4 linked regions of the Arabidopsis thaliana genome follow. The protein of the gene in region 3 interacts with the protein of the main gene of each other region in a pairwise test. Each region holds a gene or a part of one and is shown on either strand. Other genes may lie near its edges. The genes, in order: ERF8, CPUORF7, AT1G72210 and RCAR1.

Region 1 (3,286 bases), 7.4 Mb from region 3:
AAAAAAAAGTTTTTGTTGTGCGTTTATTTGACTAGATTATATTATACTTTACTCTAACTACAATCATATATATACATTGGTAACACGATAGACAACATATATAAAAGTCTTTTAAACTATAAAAGCCAACATATATATTCCATAGTATTCTTTAAAACAAAAACAAATATGCATGTAAATAATAGATTTGTCTTTTTATTGTTGTCACTGTAGCGACATTTTTTTCCGTCACTGTAACAACGTATATTTTCTCCACAGAACTAACAAATTCGAATCTATTTGTTTGATGGTGTTCATTTTTAATCCAATGTACATATGCAAGTAGTAGATATCTCTTTCTTTTTTGTATATACACGATATATAAAATAGTTCACTAAGTTATAAATCTAAAAATTTATTTTGATAATATTTTGTTTACCAAATAAATACACAAATAGTATATATGCGTTGTTCGTCATGATATCGTCATATATAAAATCCACTACAATATAAAATTTTGGTCATTTTGTTTGATAATATTTATTTTTCACCAGATATAAGCATGTAAATAATAGATTTTTTTTTTCTTGTCGGCTCGTTAACGACATTTATAACGGAATAACGGTATACTAAAGTACAAATTTTTATTCTATTCCCTTTATACCAAATAAGCTTTCATGGTAACATCCGCTAAATTATATATTGTCATCATGGTAACATCCGCTAAATTACAAATTTCAAATAATTTTTACTTTTACCAAACAGAAAAGTAAGAAATATTTTTTTGTCGACACTTTAACGATATATATATGTAACGGTATATAATTTACAAATTCAGAAATTTTGTTCGCTATATATTTTCTTACAAATTTTTTTTTTTTTGTTTATGTGTTAACAACATATATAACTACAAATTCGATAATTTTGTTTGAATATTTTTTCTACTAGATACACACACAATAGTTTATATTATATATATATATATATAAATCTTGACCTAACTAAAACATATAGTTTAAAAGGGTGTTATTAGTTCTTAATTAATTAAAAAAAATTCAAGAATCTGATAAAATCATAGATTGTAAAGAAATGAAAGTTTCTAAACTATTATTATAGAGTTTTCTATAATCTTGTTGATTAGTTTTTCACAATTTCTAAATTTTCTCAAACAATCTTTCTTTTTTAATGATACTTTTCGTAACTTTATTTTGGAAAAAGTGTAGAAAATCATAAACCAATAACACAATAATTTAATTCATTGACAATTATAGATTCTTTTGTTTTAGCTAAATAATATAAAATTTATAATAATTTTATAAAAGTATAAATCCAATAACTATAGATTTATCAAGATTTTAAATTATTTTTTACAAATCTTAATATTTTAAATTTTTTTAATTGAATAACAATAGATTCTTTATAATATTTTAAGTTACTAAAACTTTAATTAAATCACAAACTAATAACACTCTTTAATAGTGTATACTAGTATTATTGTTATGTCATTATATAGATTTAAATCCGCATATTACATTGCTTTAATAAGAAAAATTACTTAAAATTGCAAAGTGGCGATATAACATGTTTTATAGATTTAGTACAAATATGTTCCTAGTTTAAATAGGGATAAATGCAGCAAAAACCAAATTATATTATATTCTTAATAGGCAGTAACTTAATTTATAAGATTGTGATTTGTGCAGTCTTTGTTACAAAGGTGAAAAAGGGTAATAAATAAGATTCTTTTGGAGAAAGAGAAGTGAACACGTGGCAAAACATAAGTGGATATAATAACAAAAACCAGTTTTTATATGAAATAAGAGAAGCATGAGAGAGAGATAATTAAACCATCTCTCAAAATGGCTTTGACTGTTCACAAGAAAGCTCCCCAAAAGGAGCGTTGCTTTACTCTCCTATAAAAAGAAGCTCTTCTACTTCTTCTCGTTACCACAAAACTCTTTCACCGATCTTCTCGTTCCATTCTTCTTCCTAATTACACCATGCCCAACATCACCATGGGTTTGAAACCCGACCCGGTTGCTCCAACGAACCCGACTCATCATGAGAGTAATGCTGCCAAAGAGATTCGTTACAGAGGCGTTAGGAAACGTCCATGGGGAAGATACGCCGCTGAGATCCGAGATCCGGTTAAGAAAACTCGAGTCTGGCTCGGTACGTTCGACACCGCTCAGCAGGCGGCGCGTGCTTACGACGCAGCCGCGCGTGACTTTCGTGGTGTTAAGGCTAAGACCAATTTCGGTGTTATCGTTGGTAGTAGTCCTACTCAGAGTAGCACCGTCGTCGACTCTCCCACGGCGGCACGGTTTATAACACCTCCGCACCTCGAGCTCAGCTTAGGCGGCGGCGGCGCGTGTCGTCGTAAGATCCCGCTTGTGCATCCGGTTTACTACTATAACATGGCGACGTATCCAAAGATGACGACGTGTGGTGTCCAGAGCGAGTCTGAAACGTCGTCGGTCGTTGATTTCGAAGGTGGAGCTGGGAAGATATCTCCGCCGTTAGATCTGGATCTTAACTTAGCTCCTCCGGCGGAATAGGCCGTGAGTTTTTTTTTTCTTATGTCGTTTCTTTAGACAAAAAAAAATAACGTTTCCTTTTTTTTTCTGCCTAAGAAAAAAATATTATCCGTTTTTTAGAAGAAAGTGTAGAAAAGCTCCAATATAATTTTTAGCTGCCGTGAAAAAAAAGTCGTTATGTATATATTATTATGAAACCCTATTATAAATCGACGTAACATAAGAGGATCTTAAGCTTTTTTTTTTTCTTTAGTATTTGCCAAGGAAATGCATCATCGTAAATTCGTAATTGAAAAGATAAAGTATTATAGAGCTTTTTGGGGCTCGTGTGTAGAAGAAATAGATAAAGAATGGTAATGTTATTATTATAAGACTAAATATAGTGATGAGTATCGTCGTCGTCGGCTTGAAAAGACAATGGTCCAAGTGTCGTGAAGACACGCACCAATCGTGGGAGGACCGGACCCATCTTCTCTGGCTGCGGCGTACGTTAGAAGAATACTTCTTTACGCTTACGTCATTTTCACAGTTTGGACTGCTTTTCTAACTTTTGACTTTTGTGTTTTGCATCAACTCTTTTAACTCCGATGATTTATTAACAGATGGTTAAGAGTCTTGCTTAAGTTGAATAGTATTCGATTTGAAATGGTAAAAATGTTTTAAGGAAGTTGAAGATAAGAAGAGCGGCGGCTTCATAATGAGAGACAAAGGAAGGATGAGATTTGATTTTGATTCTTGTCGCCAACTTTGTGATCAAAAAACGTATAAAA
Region 2 (6,883 bases), on a different chromosome or scaffold from region 3:
TGGAGCATACTTGGTACCCAGAATCCGATATAACTCTCGTGTCATAGCCATATCAGTCTCTGACTACCAAACCTAATCAAACTCAAACTTCAATTATTGACGAATGCGATTGGTTATAAGCAAAAAGAAATAGAAAAGCCTCCACCTTTAGAGTATCAGAGGAGCAAAACAGAACCCTAATACCGCCACGAAGGAAGTATGATCGGAGGAGATAAGCGAGGAGCAGAAAGGAGAAGCCTTTGAAGTCGATTCATCAGACTCAACAACGCCACAGTTTCGACAAGAGGTAGAAAAGAGATTTTGCTTCTGAACCCGAGATTCGAAGGAACAAATTTTATGCCCTTACTCTCTGCAGCGAAGAGACTGTGGCAGAACAGGGACTAGTGCTGGTGAAAGTGAAAGCTTTCTTCTTTCTAAGACTTCTTTGTTTGGGTTTAGTGTTTGTTGTTTACTCAGTTTTGATTATGATAATTACAATGCATGCTTGCAAATTTCTAACCATTAATTTATAATTCCACAGCTTGCAAATCAAACGTATGAAGAAAATCAAAGTTTCAAGTCATGTATATATACAAACTTCAAAGGGTCCAAAAACTCAAAAGCAAACAAATGCAAATCATAAACACACTAAACACTCAACTTTGAAGTCCTATCTTTTATACAAAAAATCAAAACAAACAAATGAAAGTATTGCAGTGAGTGTCACAACAACACTGTACAAGCCCACACAAGCCTATTCTTTATCTTACGTAAACGCAAACTCTGCAACCACGCCTGTTACCCCTTCTCATTGGCCTTTGGTTGAAATATTTGCACCAGAGACCACAAAATGTCCATCCTCTGCATTACTTTGCTGTTTTGGCTCTGCCATTCATATATCAGTATCTCGATGTTAGTCAGTCATATATATCATACTAATCCAAAGTTCAATCAAAACCAAGGAAAATACTTTGATTTGCTTTGGAATCTCTTTCATGAATTGGGTAATTCGACTTCCTACCTCAGTTACAAAGCATATCCATGTTTTCTCGCCCTGAGTCTCGGTGAAACCTCTTAGGATGACGAGGTCTAAGCTCCTTATGACGTTTGCTATCTCAAGAAAATGGCCACATTCTTCACATAACATCTGTCCAATACCCAAAAATACTTTTAATACACACTCGCAGAACTTGGGACTCGAGTTCAAACAAAGATTAAACTAAACCAAAGAAAAGAGACAAAATGTAAGATTACATACCTCGATAAGCACCATCCCCTGCTTGTTCAGATTCTCCACGATGATCGAGCTTACTTGAAGATGACCTCCAACCTCCACTGCGCAGCTTGAACCTTGCATACCAGTTTCCTTTTGTTGCATCTGAGATTACAAAGGTATAAGCTAATTTTGATATTTACTTCTGATTTTCAGTTGAGTTTTTCTATATATCTCCATGTGCCTAATAATCCTATCTTCTCATTCAAGGATTCAGAAATTTGATCCACTATTTGCTACATCAATCAATCAAACCTAACAAACTGCTTAATGTGTTCATTTACAAACTATGGAGGCTGGAATAAAAATTTCTAGGATAGAACAGAGATTATCAGTTATCAAGAAAGCTGACATTTTTACCTTTTCATTAGCACTTTTACTGAGCTTTTCAGCATGCTTAGTAACATTCTGCAAAAAGAGCATGTGTTTGATCGTTCGTTCTAGCAAAGAATCGATACTGCACTGAAAATGTGACAAAAATATTAGTGAATGACAAAAATATATTATAAGTTAAATTCATTACAAAGGAAGGTGCAAGTAATCTTGTAGCTAGGAAGAGAAAAATCACCTTAGATCCATTAGGCACAAGTTCTCTAAGTTCCTTGATTCGATCTTGAATAAGTTGCCTGTCTCTTGGGCGAGGTCGAGAACTTTCACCAGGTTTGGCCCTCTTTTTGTTCTTCTTGGGTATGTCCAGGGATGTCTGAAACTGATCACTAGAGGAGCTGGGGTACGTAGATGAGAATCCAATTGAAGAAAACGCTCCACAAATATCTGATGAATTTTGTTGGGTATCCACCTCTGCCATTGGTGGCTGATTCATAGCACTATTAATTGGGTTAACAATATTATGCTTCTTCTGACCTGAGGGTTCTGCCAGTTCCATGTTAGTAAGCAATGATTGTACCGATCTGCTCGACATCATATCATCCCTCGCATTACCATCTCTTTGACACACATTAGCAACCACAGCATCTAGAAGATTCTCAGGGCCAGGGTCAAACGTGAGCTGGCTATGACTCATATCGTCTGTTGGTCTCATTGTTGAACCATGTTCAGACTTCAGTAGCTCCTCCTGACCAGTGTTCGTTTGCTTGAAAGCAGAGCCTAACGCTTCTAGTAGCTCGCTGCCAGCAAAAGTATACCCAGATGAGATCAAAGCATCAAATTGACTAGACTCGCAGTTCCTCCCCAGCATACGCTCAGTCTCTTTTATGTATTTATTTCCTTGGTTCTCAGATAGTTGGAACACTTCATTATGGTAAGAACTTTCTTTATCTGTTCTCGAGGTAGCCTGAAAAGTTGAGTCCAGGCGTGGATATGATTGGCTTGTTATCAATCTTTCAGCCTCAATTGCTAAAGCAGATGTGCTTGTATCATTGAGCACATGATTCTTCATATACAGATGTAAATTAGGATCTAAATCCCTTGAATCTTTGCAGCCACTAGTCATTCCCACATGAGGTGCATCCCTGATTATATTAGTACCTACTTGATTCTCATGTTTGGCACCAACCAAGTCAACTGGAAAGCCAAACGTAACACCACTATAACTCCCACAAGTAGATCCTTGCACAACTTCACGACCACCAACAACTTGGGCTGCCTTCTCCATGACAAGACATGACGAAGGAGTATTGTAAGGCATGCTATCACTTCTTCTAGTTTTGTATTGAGTTAGAATATTGGACTCTTCCACGTCCATAGCTTTGTCAACTTCTCCAGAGCAATCAGGGAAAGCCTCAGCATGTAAACCTTCAGAAGGCATTTTTGGCTGCAACAAAATTATACAACACATCATGGTCTACTCAGGAAGTCAGTGGAGGTTTGAGTAACTGTTAGAAGAACCCTAAGCACTTTACTCTCCCCATTTTGCAAATAACAAGAAATCTAGAAAAAACATGAATCCATATTTGAATGAAGAAGATCTTTACCAGACATAACGAATTGTTCATATTACATTGCCTTAAATTTGCTGCATGGTCTGCCAATGGATCCCTAAGTGCCAGAAATAAATGTCGGATATGATTCACAAAATTCACATCTTCATTAACCTGCTCCAAACAAATACAAAATAAGACCAGATATGTATATATGTGCCATCTATTATAAGTGTGCAGGTGTTCTTCCTGGCTATTATTTTGTAACTGCGAACACCGCATCCAATTTTAAGATCTTACTTACTTTACACAAAGAGCCTAGCTGAACAACTCCACATGGACCAACAGCTACTACAAGAATGGTCTGCGGAGAAGGAAGAATAGATATTTTAAAAAGGAAAGTCTCCAGTGGCAAACTTTGAGGATGTTCTTGACAAGTATGTATAATAAAGCAGACAGAAAGAGCACTAAAGAAAAATCCAAATACCTTAATTCCAGCAGAAATTTGACTTTCCCAAACGTTATGAAACTGTAATTAAAAAAAGACATTTGGTTTAAAAACACGAAGAAAACAAATTTAATTTCAGATAGAAAGTCCCTAACCTCAAATGCTGAGTTACAGTTGTTATAATTTTCGGGAAATACCCATTGGTGTTCTCCAGAAACTGCAACTTGTCCTACAATCCTGTTTATATAGATATGATAACATAATTCAACAATAGACCCAAGATTGTTAACTATTGTAAAAGCTAACATCAAGCTCAAGGACACAACAAAAGCTTTGCATTATGTGGCTACTGTCAAATAAAAAAAGAAGGAAAAAGGGCACATCAAACTATAGGCATGATAAGAGTGAATCAGAGCAATATATTCTTACCCTTCCCCTAGAGAATAGACATGATAAGACATCTTTGCCACAGCTAACCCAAGGGGGTCATGTGCTCCATGCATATTCGTCCCATGATGGTCATAGTAAGCATCCTCCAAGGTAAGTACCCTACAGGTGTTCATTATTCAAAAAATTGAGAAACTATCTGGTCAACTAAAACACTAAAACATATAAAGAAATAGAATCCTGAACTGCACACAAAACTTAAAAGTACAGAAACAATCTTCAGACACTTAAACTACAATTGTTAACTTAAAGCTGCTGCATTTCGATATAAGGTTCCATATTTCCACTCTAGCAAGTTGAAGTCAATACACCTAAATCAATTACCACAGTTCTAACTCGTAGACAATTATAATGATCCACCACGCAAAGACAGTAAAGAGAATTGTTTAGATGACTCACATTCGAGATCCTCGATGATTAAGTTGCCAGAACACAGCATAGTCCCAGTCCGTGTTAAAGCAAAAGCTCTTCAGTATCTCTTGAGAAGTAGAACCCATTCTAAAGGGTAAACCTCAAAACCCCGGACTCAAAAACCACAAATCAGAACTCTAAACAGTTGTTTTATACTATCTCCTCCCCAACCTCTAATAAAAAAAAAAAGAAGCTTCTTTTGATTCGTTTTCGATGAGATACAAAGTAACTAACTACCTCTGTAAGAACCTCTTCCAGCTTGTTCCCTTCGTAAACCAGCTCTTGGTTTTATGGGCGGACCTACTTCATCTTGTGATATTTGCCTCTTACCCATCCCTCCCAAAGATACAAACTTTGAATCGGATTACGAATAAAAACCCAAGAAGGAAACTAATTTAGCCCTAGCTCAAACAAAAAACACCGAGAGAATCAGAATTTGAAACAGAGATAGATCTGCTGCAACTGCTACTCGCCATGGGAGAAATCAATATTGAAAATTCAAAAGCTAGAGAAGAAGAAAGAAGACAGTAGAAAAGGAAGCAGAGAGAGACAGAGAGATTGTAAGAAAGAATCGAGTTTAGCTTATGTCAGAAGATATTGATTAACTACAACAGTTGATCTCTGCATCACTCAGAGACACTAACAATCTCAGCCCAGAAATTCGCCGGAAAAAGGAAAGAACAGAGATAGAGATAGAGAGAGAGAGAGGGTAAAGGAGGCAGAGGTAAGCTAAAAGACGTTCCTTTTTAAAAGGGTGAAGGAGAAATCGAGCAAGTAAGCGGGTGAATCACGCACCATGCTCATTTTAGCAACGAAAGGCCAAGGATCGGTGTGCGCATGTTAACTATTCGAGTTAGTGGGATGGTGAGTGTGTGTGTGTTTGAGGGTATGGGATTTTATGGAGATAGGATCTCTCTCTCTTATAGAGTAATGGCCAGCAAAATGATTCACCAACTGAACTTTGCTTCCTTCTTTACTTTTTTTTTTACCCATTACTCACAAATTTATAAAATATTTTACACATTGCACTAATTTATCGTGTGTTTAATTACAAATTCATCACATTAACATCACAATCTTTTTTGTATTTCCCGCGGAAATTGTGCGCTAAACATTGTATACTCGGCTCGTTTACCGAAGTTGTAGGAAGTCTACTATGAATTGTATATCCCATGGGAGAAGAGAGTGATGAGGCTAGAGCTGCGGAATTAGTGGTAGGATTCTTAAAGGCAAGAGTTTGTGAGTCGAACCCAATTGTCTTTCTTGATAAGTTTGTATCATATATTTTATCTACAGAGTAGATAATTCGAATCTCGTATATGTATAAAGAGGTTAACCGTCTAGCAAAAATATTAGTGAACTATGTATATACTTTACTTTAAGGTGTCTATTTGTTTGATTTGACTCATACGTTGGTGGATAAGATTGTAAAAAAAAATGTTTGAGGAATTGCGTTTTCGAGGCTCATTCGTCTATAGTTTAATTTTTTTTTTATTTTGAATAAATTTTGAAGAGACAATTGTTTTTCCCATATACTATTAAAATATAATACTTTTGTAATAAAAAACCTATGATATTTAAAATGTTGTACATGTTTTATTACAACTTCCATAATAATTTTCCTTCTAATTCATAAGATAAAATATTCCGAAAATTTAGCAAGTGTCCCTCGTAGTCGTAGTGACAATCCTACTATATTATTTGGGAAGTACATTTTAAATATAACCTTAATTTTTGTAAGTAATTACATAGGTATGCCATTAGAAATAAAATTTTAAAAAGTAAATTAATTTATCTCTTTAAGGATTAAAAAGTCAAATACTAATTTAATTAATTAAATTAATTAAAAAACGAAATACAATATTAATTTCCAAAAATAATAGCCAATCAAAATCAACATATAAGATTTGATATCTAAATTTAATTAATTTAATTTAATTAGAAAAACGAAATAGATTATTAATTTCTAAAAAAGTAACCAATTAAAATCAACAAACTATATTTGGTATCTAAATTATCATATTAATTTTTTATTAATTATTATAGTTCACTTCTCATCTTTATATGATTCTATTTATACGGAAAAATAATATCATCATTATAAAAAAATAATTAGAGTTTTTTCGCATATGCCATAATTTGAATTTTTAAAAACAAATATAAACTGTTCAATACATGAAATAATATTATAACGGGTGAAAAATAGATTTAAGAAAACTTTCTACTGAGTAAGGGGACATAAATTTGAAATATTCATATTCAATTTCATACATATTATATTGAAAATTTATAATCTTATATATTACAATAGTTAATAACATATTAGATGTGATTCAATTTTTAATATAAGCTGAAAAATCCTAGAATTGACGGGTTTAGATCGATATTAATACAAGATGGTATACTACATGTGAAACTCTTAAATTAACAATCAAACTACAAGTG
Region 3 (5,484 bases):
TAACTTTGCACTAATTCTTGTAACAATCTCTATGTTTGATCAATTATAACTTCGGCGATCCTTGAAAAAAATATCTAAATTATTTAGCTAGGAGCCTAGGACTATATATTATTTTTGCCTACTATAGTACTACTTGGATGGTTTTGAAATTATGGTATCTTTTTATGTCGCAAATAAAAACTAGAGGTACACGGACTTAAAGGAGACAAGAGTATCATAGCCTTAGATTTATTTTCCACCGTGTTTCTAAATAGTGGGATTCTTTCGAGTTTCGATCAAATGATTTTTCGCTTAGATTTCGTTTTGCATCACATATTTAAGTTGTTGCTTCCCTCTATTGGTTAAAGCGACCAAACAACTTTGTTACACAGCAACCCTAAGTCGTGTCATAGCCATCTAATTCTCACATCTTCTATACCGCATAAAAGTTCGATAATTATTAATTAGACTAATGGAAAGATGCCACCTAGTTAATATACAAATTAAGTTGGGATATCGTCTCTTATTCTTACATATGTCAACATCAAGAATACTTTGTTTTAAGCATGACATGATTACATTAATAAAGCATTACCCCACACGCCGAAATGTTATTCTTATTTTTATCCGTGAATTTTTTCTATGATCAAATTTGTCCGTCTAAGTGGATTGAATGCAAATGTGAGTGTTTAATTCCCATCATCAGTTGGAAGATCAGGGATTCTTTTTGTACAAGATTGGAAGATCAGGTTTTTGAGTTGAATATGGTTTGATCATCATCATTTTACGAACATTCGAAACTTGCATAGTCGAGTAATTTTTATCTCTCAATTTCTGTTTCTTAATCAATATCCACGTAAGTTTTTTTTTTTTTTTTTTTTAAACAGTTGTTTTTAAGTATCAAAGACATGGGAACCAGACAGTTGAAAATATATTTTTAAGACAAATTTACATATTTTAAATGTCTTCTAATCTTAATATTTTAAATGTTTTCTAATATTATCTTGTTTTAAAAAAAGAACACATATTTTCAAATTATATGATATTGTTGTTACTATTATTTCTTTTTTTACTATAAATTTTGTGACAATATATATATATATATATATATATATTAACCATTTTTCGGCGGTATAAAATAGTTTACCACCGAGTAATTGCATTCAATCGCACGACCAACAAGTTATAGTATTATTCACTTTGCCCCAAACTAAAAGTTTATTTTAGAAAATTCATTAACAGTAAATTTCATTTCCTTCAAAATACATTTTTGTTCTGTTTTTATTTATTTATTTAATATATTAACATTTATCATGTATGATGATTGATGAAGATGATTTTCTCAACATTTCTCTCCTTTTTTTTTTGTCTCTCAACATTTCTCTCCTATATAAAATTTAAACTATTGAACGAATGTTACTGCTACGAAATTATAATATTTACTCTAAGTTGTCATCAGGATTCTATTACTTTAAAAGCCAAAATTTACTAATCAAAAACTAGTTGATAGATTGTAAAATTAATTAAGCACATTTATTGATTTAAAATTTATTTTTTACTCTACAAATCGTGATTTCCAAGAGTTGTATCTATATAAAGGCAATATGCTTTCGGACCCATGCATGGTCTTGATGTTTTTTTACGGTTATTCCATTACGGGTAGGGTTATGTGATAAACGATATGATTTCATATAAAAAGAATAAATCAGCGGTCATTGTCTCCGCATGGTTCGGGGAAAAAATACTCGTATAAATAAGCCTTTAGATTTCGAATTTATAAAGCTTTGACGTCGGCTGATACATAGAAACAAAAAAAAACTTTGATGTCAAGCTCTCTTTCCTCTTCCTGTCCATCAATACGCGTTACACACGCACAATAGAAGCAAATTATTGTTTGAATACCTAAAAGAGGATAGACGACATAATTATCACCGCAAACACTCTAAATTTTGGGATATAGCTTTCATTAGATTACATTTTGACTCACATGGTATACGGCAAAAAAATATTAAATTCATGGCAACGTATAAAGTTGATATTTCAACATGTTATAATTTCTCTCTCTTCGAACATGAGTGTAACAAGACGAACCCCAAAGCCTGCAAAAACACACAGAATCTTTTCTTTGGTTTTGTGGACCGGTCTACAATCTCACGTGCAAAACCAAACATACACGATCTCTCTCTCTCTATATCTCTACTTTTTCTGAACTCAGTTGGTTTCGATTTTCTTCGGACCTTCTATTGTTAAATCAGCTTTATAACCTCACAAGCTTCTCCTCTATTCCATAGATCAAACCACAACTTTGTTTGACCTTTTTTTGAGTACTTCTCTTGTCTTTTCTTCTTCAAGTTTACTTAGTTCTTTGAGAACAAATTTCTGTTGATTTTTTTTCTTTCTTGTAGAGGGATAATTACAAGTTTAATTTCCCTAGAGTGTCTTTACCTTTTGCCTTGTCTCCCTCTCGAGACAAAAAGAGAAAGAGAAACACTTTCTGTCCTCTTTTTTTTTCCTCTCTTTTTCTCTCTCGCTGGAAACCTTTTCATATTCAAGTGTAATTTTAATATTTCAAGCAATTTTCTAGCTAATTATGGCCTTGGAGGCTGTAGTTTACCCGCAAGATCCGTTCTCCTACATCTCTTGCAAAGATTTTCCGTTTTACGACTTATACTTTCAAGAAGAAGAAGATCAAGATCCACAAGATACTAAGAACAACATTAAGCTAGGGCAAGGACAAGGACATGGTTTTGCGAGTAATAATTACAACGGTAGAACCGGAGATTATAGTGATGATTATAATTACAACGAAGAGGATCTCCAATGGCCACGAGACCTTCCTTATGGATCTGCCGTCGACACCGAGAGCCAGCCTCCACCGTCGGATGTGGCGGCGGGAGGAGGGAGGAGGAAAAGGAGGAGGACGAGGAGTAGCAAGAACAAAGAAGAGATCGAGAACCAGAGGATGACTCACATCGCCGTTGAAAGAAATCGCCGGAAACAGATGAACGAGTACCTCGCCGTTCTCCGGTCTCTCATGCCACCTTATTATGCTCAAAGGGTTAGTCTCTACATACAACAGTTATATGTATATGTGAGTGTGAGCGCGTGAAATATTCAGTCCTTTAGCTGTATTTCTTGACGTGTCAAAAAAAAAAAAAAAAAGCAAAGCCTATGTTCTAGGCTTTCAGCTAATTAGGACATGCATAGGCTATACATAGATATGTCATATGCATGTATGTTTATATGTTTTGAAATATAAATTTGAGAATGATGATAGATGAATGAAAGCCGTTATATATATTGACAAAAAATAAAAACTAAACGAAAGTCGTTATTTCTTTTTTTCATAATTTTATTAGATCATGTAGTCTCTAAATGAAAATTTTGTTAGTGGAATTGTGGGAGCATAAATAAAGTCTTGAACATCATTGCACCCAAAAAGGACTATACATATTATAGATTTATAATGAGATGGTGACATAATATATTTTTTAAAAAATTAAGGTACGAAATATAGACATGTTTGATTGTTTTTGCAAAACCTTTTGCAATTTCTATGTGCTAGACTAACATAAGGTTGGTGGTGGTTAAAGGGAGATCAAGCATCGATAGTAGGCGGAGCCATTAACTACTTAAAGGAGCTTGAGCATCATTTACAATCAATGGAACCTCCGGTTAAGACCGCCACAGAAGACACCGGAGCCGGCCACGACCAGACCAAAACAACCTCGGCTAGTTCGTCGGGACCATTCTCGGATTTCTTTGCATTTCCTCAGTACTCGAACCGGCCTACCTCTGCGGCGGCGGCTGAGGGGATGGCGGAGATAGAGGTAACGATGGTAGAGAGCCATGCGAGTCTGAAAATACTTGCGAAAAAGAGACCGAGACAGCTTCTTAAACTGGTCTCATCGATACAGAGCCTAAGGCTCACTCTTCTCCATCTAAACGTCACAACTCGAGACGACTCCGTCCTCTATTCCATCAGCGTCAAGGTACATTTTTTTCTCTCTTTTTCACCATTTTTTGTTTTTTTTTTCCTAACCAGATTAGAGTGATCATGTTATATAATACCGTTGTTTAGGGTTAGTGGGTTGAATTTGCAAATTCAAATTAAATTGGTATCTAATAATTAATGGGTGACTAATCATTACTCCCATTGTTGGTTTTGGTTCAATGATTATTCATTGATTGTTTTTCCAATCACAAATGTTTTGTGCATTTAATGTGTCTCTTATTAGTACATGTTGTGAATTATTTGTCTGGGCCAAAAAAGGTTTTCCAAGAACAAAAATAAAAATCGTTCCTTTTTTCTCGTTCTTTTTTACTTGGTTAGGGCTGGCCTCAATTATTGGGGGGTCAAAATCATCATTTCTTATTTATTAAAAAAGACAAAATTTTGAGTACTATCATAATATTGATTCTTGTAAGAATCAGGGACCAAAAAGATGACATATGCCTACACATGTGTGAATGTGTGTATATATATATGTGTACTGGGCATGTTTGGTGGTCACAACACTGTGGATGCACTGTGCACGGCAGAACGAAATGACGCCACTTGTTTCAGGACACATTCATAAGCTTCTTCCTCGAAATATAAACATTTTCTTTAATCATCTTTTTACCTTTTCAATGACTATATATCAATCTTTTTCATGTAACTTAAAAGAAAATATTAAAATAATGGGTTTATTCAGGTTGAAGAAGGGAGCCAATTGAATACAGTAGAAGATATTGCAGCAGCTGTGAATCAAATCCTAAGGAGGATCGAAGAAGAGTCATCCTTTAGCTAGTATTGTTGAATTTTAGTTATGGCACATTTAGAGGAGCTCTAATTTTTCATGTGTGATCTTTTGCTCTCTCTTTTTCATATATTAAATAATATAAATTTCCTTTTTCTTTTTGTTAACGTTAATTCTAATGCATTATATATTGGAGTTTTTGTGTGATTGACCTTTTAGACCTGATCACAAAAGAGGAACTAGCTTTTAAGAGCTCTATACGAGAATAGTAATTATAAGCTTGAGCAATTGAATTTTCCCACACATAAAAAAAAGGCTTGAACAATTTGACTGGTTATGAGATAGCTGAAAAAAATTCAACCACACTTATATAAATATACCGGTATGAGTCATGTGAAGGCGTCCCTAAAAGACTCGGTATATCGTGAATAACCGGCTTTGCACGGTTCGTTTAAGAAGGAATTAGTTAGAATAGTATATTTTGTGAAGTAATGTCTAAATATGCGCTAATTAAGAAAAAAGTTTGATGAGACTCTCATGGTCTGAATCAGATGTTTTGAACACCCATGACATCTAAGACACCCGCAAAGGGCCACATATACGATCGTAAATAATAATCTAGTCTGGGGTCGGAGAACACTTAAGTTCTAATCGGAGAGACTTTTCAGACTCAATCCACCACTAGTTTTTGGGTAAGCAAACATAGTTTAAAACTATATTTGCACATTCGCAAAAGGGAGATCCCTTTCCAAAGAAACACATT
Region 4 (3,532 bases), about 27 Mb from region 3:
TACTGCCAGCATTATCAGAAGAATGTCGTTAATGTTGTCTTTTTTTCTTTCACTTCCGTCTGTTTTTTTTGTGGTATTGGTTAATTCGAAAAGATTCGGAACCTATTGGCCGGCAAAAAAGTTATCCAAATGAACAAAAAGAAGAATTACACGTGTCAAGTTCACGAGAAACGACATAATACGTGAACATGAAAATGACAGACAATAAACCAATGAAAATATGACACGTATATTGGTTTCCTATTATTTAACCGTATTTAGCTCATTGTCGCTGTCACTAAAAAGGCTCCTTGTTTTTATCTTGAAGCAGTTAATAATTTACGCCAAAGTCGTCTTTTGCGTTTAAGTTCGCATGCCTAGCTAGTGCCAAAGGTGATCCTATCCGATAAGCTTTGTTTTGGGTAAATTTTTATCTGATAAGGTTACTGTAATTATCGTCAATTACCGCTCTTTTAAGTACTATATTATCACTTAACATTTTTTAAAAAATATGATTGCAGAAAATGTTATATATAAACTAAATCCCTATTTTATCATAACGTCAATTTCAGACAATTAATGAGATATGTAAGCATAAACCATATTCATATTGAACAAGAAAACCTCCGGTTACAATTATATGTGTTGTTTAAAATGGTTACAAAATCGGAAGATTGTTCGTTATGAAAACCTTAAACCATAATTAATACATATGTTAGAAGATAATTAGATAAGTAATCATTTAACTAGATTTATCTAAAAAGTGATTATGTTGTTTTTGTTTGAGAAAACCAAGTAAAGGTGAGTCTTTTCTCCTTTGGGAAAAACAAAAGTAGAATTCAAAAAAGAAAGAAATAGAATTCACTAATTATATAGTAATCCATTAATATTACTGGTTAGAAAGCGTAATTAGCGGCGGTGGTTATCAAAAGTGACTTCCACCATATGTTTCGAAAGCTTGAGTTTCACGAAGAAGATGGAGGAGGGGCAACTTTAGACTAGTGGAGATGAATCGAATGATGATTTATTGTAGATTCTTTGTGGTATCTCATCTTTCCTTCGTATGAGGTGTGATTCACAACAAATACAATTTAACAAAAACTAGTTTGTCTACATTCGGTATGATATAATTAAGGACTTTGTCTCAAACAGATTAAAGTTCTTGTTTCATGATTTTAGATTGTGGATGCCTTGTACCAATCTTCTTGTAGAAATGCCTTCTCCTCCTAGAAGAGAAATTACACCTTACGTGTCGTACATGACTACATGGAACAGTCACTTTGCAGATAGGATATGGTGTTAGACATTTAGCTTGATACAATTAATTAATGTTTAACAACAAGGTTTAAAGGCAACGAGAGCTATATCTAATAAGATGTGGTCTAAGACATATGAGACCTGATACATGGAGAATCACTCATTTATAAATTTCTGGTATATTAACGACATTTTGTGTCTAAAAAATTAGCTATTATAATGAATATGGTCTAAAATTGAATTTAAATTAACAAAACTATCTATAAAGTTTGAAACGATCTTACCTAATCAAAACAAATAATTATCTAAGCAATCTGTTTTGTTTTGTTCGGATTATATAGGTCCCCAAAACGTCATACAATAAAACTTGCTTAAATATTTTGTTTTTTTGTTACATTAAAAAATTAGTATCTTGTTGTGTTTTTGTTTGGTTTGAAAAGCTGAAAATGTGTGAAGGAGAAGAAGGAAGCTATAAAAAAGAGTTTAGGTACAAAAGTAAAAAGTTATTATGTCGGTGGGTTCATTAAAAGAAACCAAAAAACATAAACAAGTAATTTTGTTTTGGCATAACGAAGCATCTTCTTCTTCTTCCTTGTATTTATTATCCATTTCCAGAGATTCTCCCTTGTGAGATAACAACGAAGAACGAAAGAGAGAGAGAGAGAGAGAGATATGATGGACGGCGTTGAAGGCGGCACGGCGATGTACGGTGGTCTCGAGACGGTGCAATACGTACGGACGCATCATCAACATCTGTGCAGAGAAAACCAGTGTACCTCTGCTCTTGTCAAACACATCAAAGCTCCTCTTCATCTCGTAAGCTTCTCCAATCTACCACTAATTTCACCCTTTTCGTACCATTTTCTCCATGATCCGTCAATTTTGATCCCAACCATCGATTTAGGGTTTTTTCCCCCAAATCTCTGTTTAACGATTGATTATAATTGATTTTTTTTAGGTTTGGTCACTTGTACGGAGATTTGATCAGCCGCAGAAATACAAACCGTTTGTGAGCAGATGTACAGTAATCGGTGATCCTGAAATCGGCAGTCTTAGAGAAGTCAATGTTAAATCTGGTCTTCCTGCAACAACATCTACTGAGAGATTAGAACTTCTTGATGATGAAGAACACATCCTCGGTATCAAAATCATCGGTGGTGATCACAGACTTAAGGTACAGCGAGAGAAATCAAATCTCATTGATGTTTGTTTATATGCAGATTCTCATTGATTGTTTGTTTGCAGAATTACTCGTCGATTTTGACGGTTCATCCGGAGATAATCGAGGGAAGAGCAGGAACGATGGTGATTGAATCGTTTGTAGTTGATGTTCCTCAAGGTAACACAAAGGATGAGACTTGCTACTTTGTTGAAGCACTTATCAGATGTAATCTCAAGTCACTAGCAGATGTTTCTGAAAGATTGGCTTCTCAGGACATTACTCAGTGAACTACATAATCAATGAACAAGGGCATTGAAGTGAAGTATCAATTCCAGTTTGTGATATAATCAATATTCTTCAGGATTTTTTTGGTTTGGCCTAGATATATATATAGATATCTATCCTCGGTAATGACCAGTCTAAAAAGATGTACATATTGTCCCAATGGTGAAGTTTTGATGTAAGATATCTCCTGGTGGTTTGTTATTTGTAGATATTTTTGTAAACAATGTAAATGTGAATGGTTTATGATGTATAATATATAGTTCACAAAAGATGTTTCTGTAGACTTCAGATTCCACTTCTCTATTGAACAGAACCTATGATTGGATGCTGAGAACTTGTAAAGAATCTGAGGCAGAAAGTTGAAAAACTGTGTCAATTTCATTAACTTGAAAAGATGAGCATAAATTGGGAGAGAGAGAGAGAGACAAAGATTTTGAATTGAGGTTTAACGGTAAAACACACAAAACCTATTCCCCTCTGTTTCCAATTTTCATCTAAACAAACAGGTACATATTTGAATGTAATATTGTATACAGACCAGGGGTAAAACAGGAACTAAAGAAGGCTAACAATCGAGTCGAACCCTCTATGTGAAGCCACAGGTTTAGTGCAAATTGTAATAAGTTGTTCAGAGAGACTCTTGACTGAAACAAATTGTGAAGCAGATTCGATTTTAAAATCAAAATTTGAGTGTCGAGCGGGAAAGTAAAAGTTCCGCTCCAATCTTCTAATCTTTTCGTATCTAGCGGGAAATTTCTCAGCAGGTGACTTTCATAATCGCAGTTTTCGTCGATTCTCTTTTCCGATTTTACGATTCCTCTCTCTCTCTCATGGTGCGATTTCTCCAGC

Evidence for each region.
Region 1: the proteins of AT1G72210 (region 3) and ERF8 interact in binary tests that used the Arabidopsis thaliana proteins (3 or more experiments, as listed by UniProt).
Region 2: the proteins of AT1G72210 (region 3) and CPUORF7 interact in binary tests that used the Arabidopsis thaliana proteins (3 or more experiments, as listed by UniProt).
Region 4: the proteins of AT1G72210 (region 3) and RCAR1 interact in binary tests that used the Arabidopsis thaliana proteins (3 or more experiments, as listed by UniProt).

Annotation. Positions count from the first base shown.
Region 1 is NC_003070.9:19,820,790-19,824,075, reverse strand, and holds ERF8 (ethylene response factor 8), read left to right. Parts: upstream 1-1,823; 5' UTR 1,824-1,979; coding exon 1,980-2,537; 3' UTR 2,538-2,739; downstream 2,740-3,286.
Region 2 is NC_003071.7:13,337,319-13,344,201, reverse strand, and holds CPUORF7 (transcription factor bHLH155-like protein), read right to left. Parts: upstream 5,116-6,883; 5' UTR 4,773-5,115; coding exon of another isoform or gene 4,676-4,772; 5' UTR 4,525-4,675; coding exon 4,427-4,524; intron 4,130-4,426; coding exon 4,010-4,129; intron 3,818-4,009; coding exon 3,736-3,817; intron 3,662-3,735; coding exon 3,620-3,661; intron 3,497-3,619; coding exon 3,437-3,496; intron 3,307-3,436; coding exon 3,187-3,306; intron 3,027-3,186; coding exon 1,821-3,026; intron 1,715-1,820; coding exon 1,613-1,714; intron 1,358-1,612; coding exon 1,238-1,357; intron 1,199-1,237; coding exon of another isoform or gene 1,127-1,198; coding exon 950-1,126; coding exon of another isoform or gene 893-949; intron 865-892; coding exon 778-864; 3' UTR 540-777; downstream 1-539. Other genes in the region: AT2G31290 (Ubiquitin carboxyl-terminal hydrolase family protein), read right to left, coding at 1-51. UniProt on the Arabidopsis thaliana protein: Transcription factor that may regulate root development.
Region 3 is NC_003070.9:27,177,497-27,182,980, forward strand, and holds AT1G72210 (basic helix-loop-helix (bHLH) DNA-binding superfamily protein), read left to right. Parts: upstream 1-1,961; 5' UTR 1,962-2,569; coding exon 2,570-3,037; intron 3,038-3,572; coding exon 3,573-3,971; coding exon of another isoform or gene 3,972-4,034; exon of another isoform or gene 4,035-4,676; coding exon 4,677-4,772; 3' UTR 4,773-4,960; downstream 4,961-5,484.
Region 4 is NC_003070.9:140,230-143,761, forward strand, and holds RCAR1 (regulatory component of ABA receptor 1), read left to right. Parts: upstream 1-1,640; 5' UTR 1,641-1,908; coding exon 1,909-2,052; intron 2,053-2,194; coding exon 2,195-2,410; intron 2,411-2,481; coding exon 2,482-2,685; 3' UTR 2,686-3,032; downstream 3,033-3,532. UniProt on the Arabidopsis thaliana protein: Receptor for abscisic acid (ABA) required for ABA-mediated responses such as stomatal closure and germination inhibition.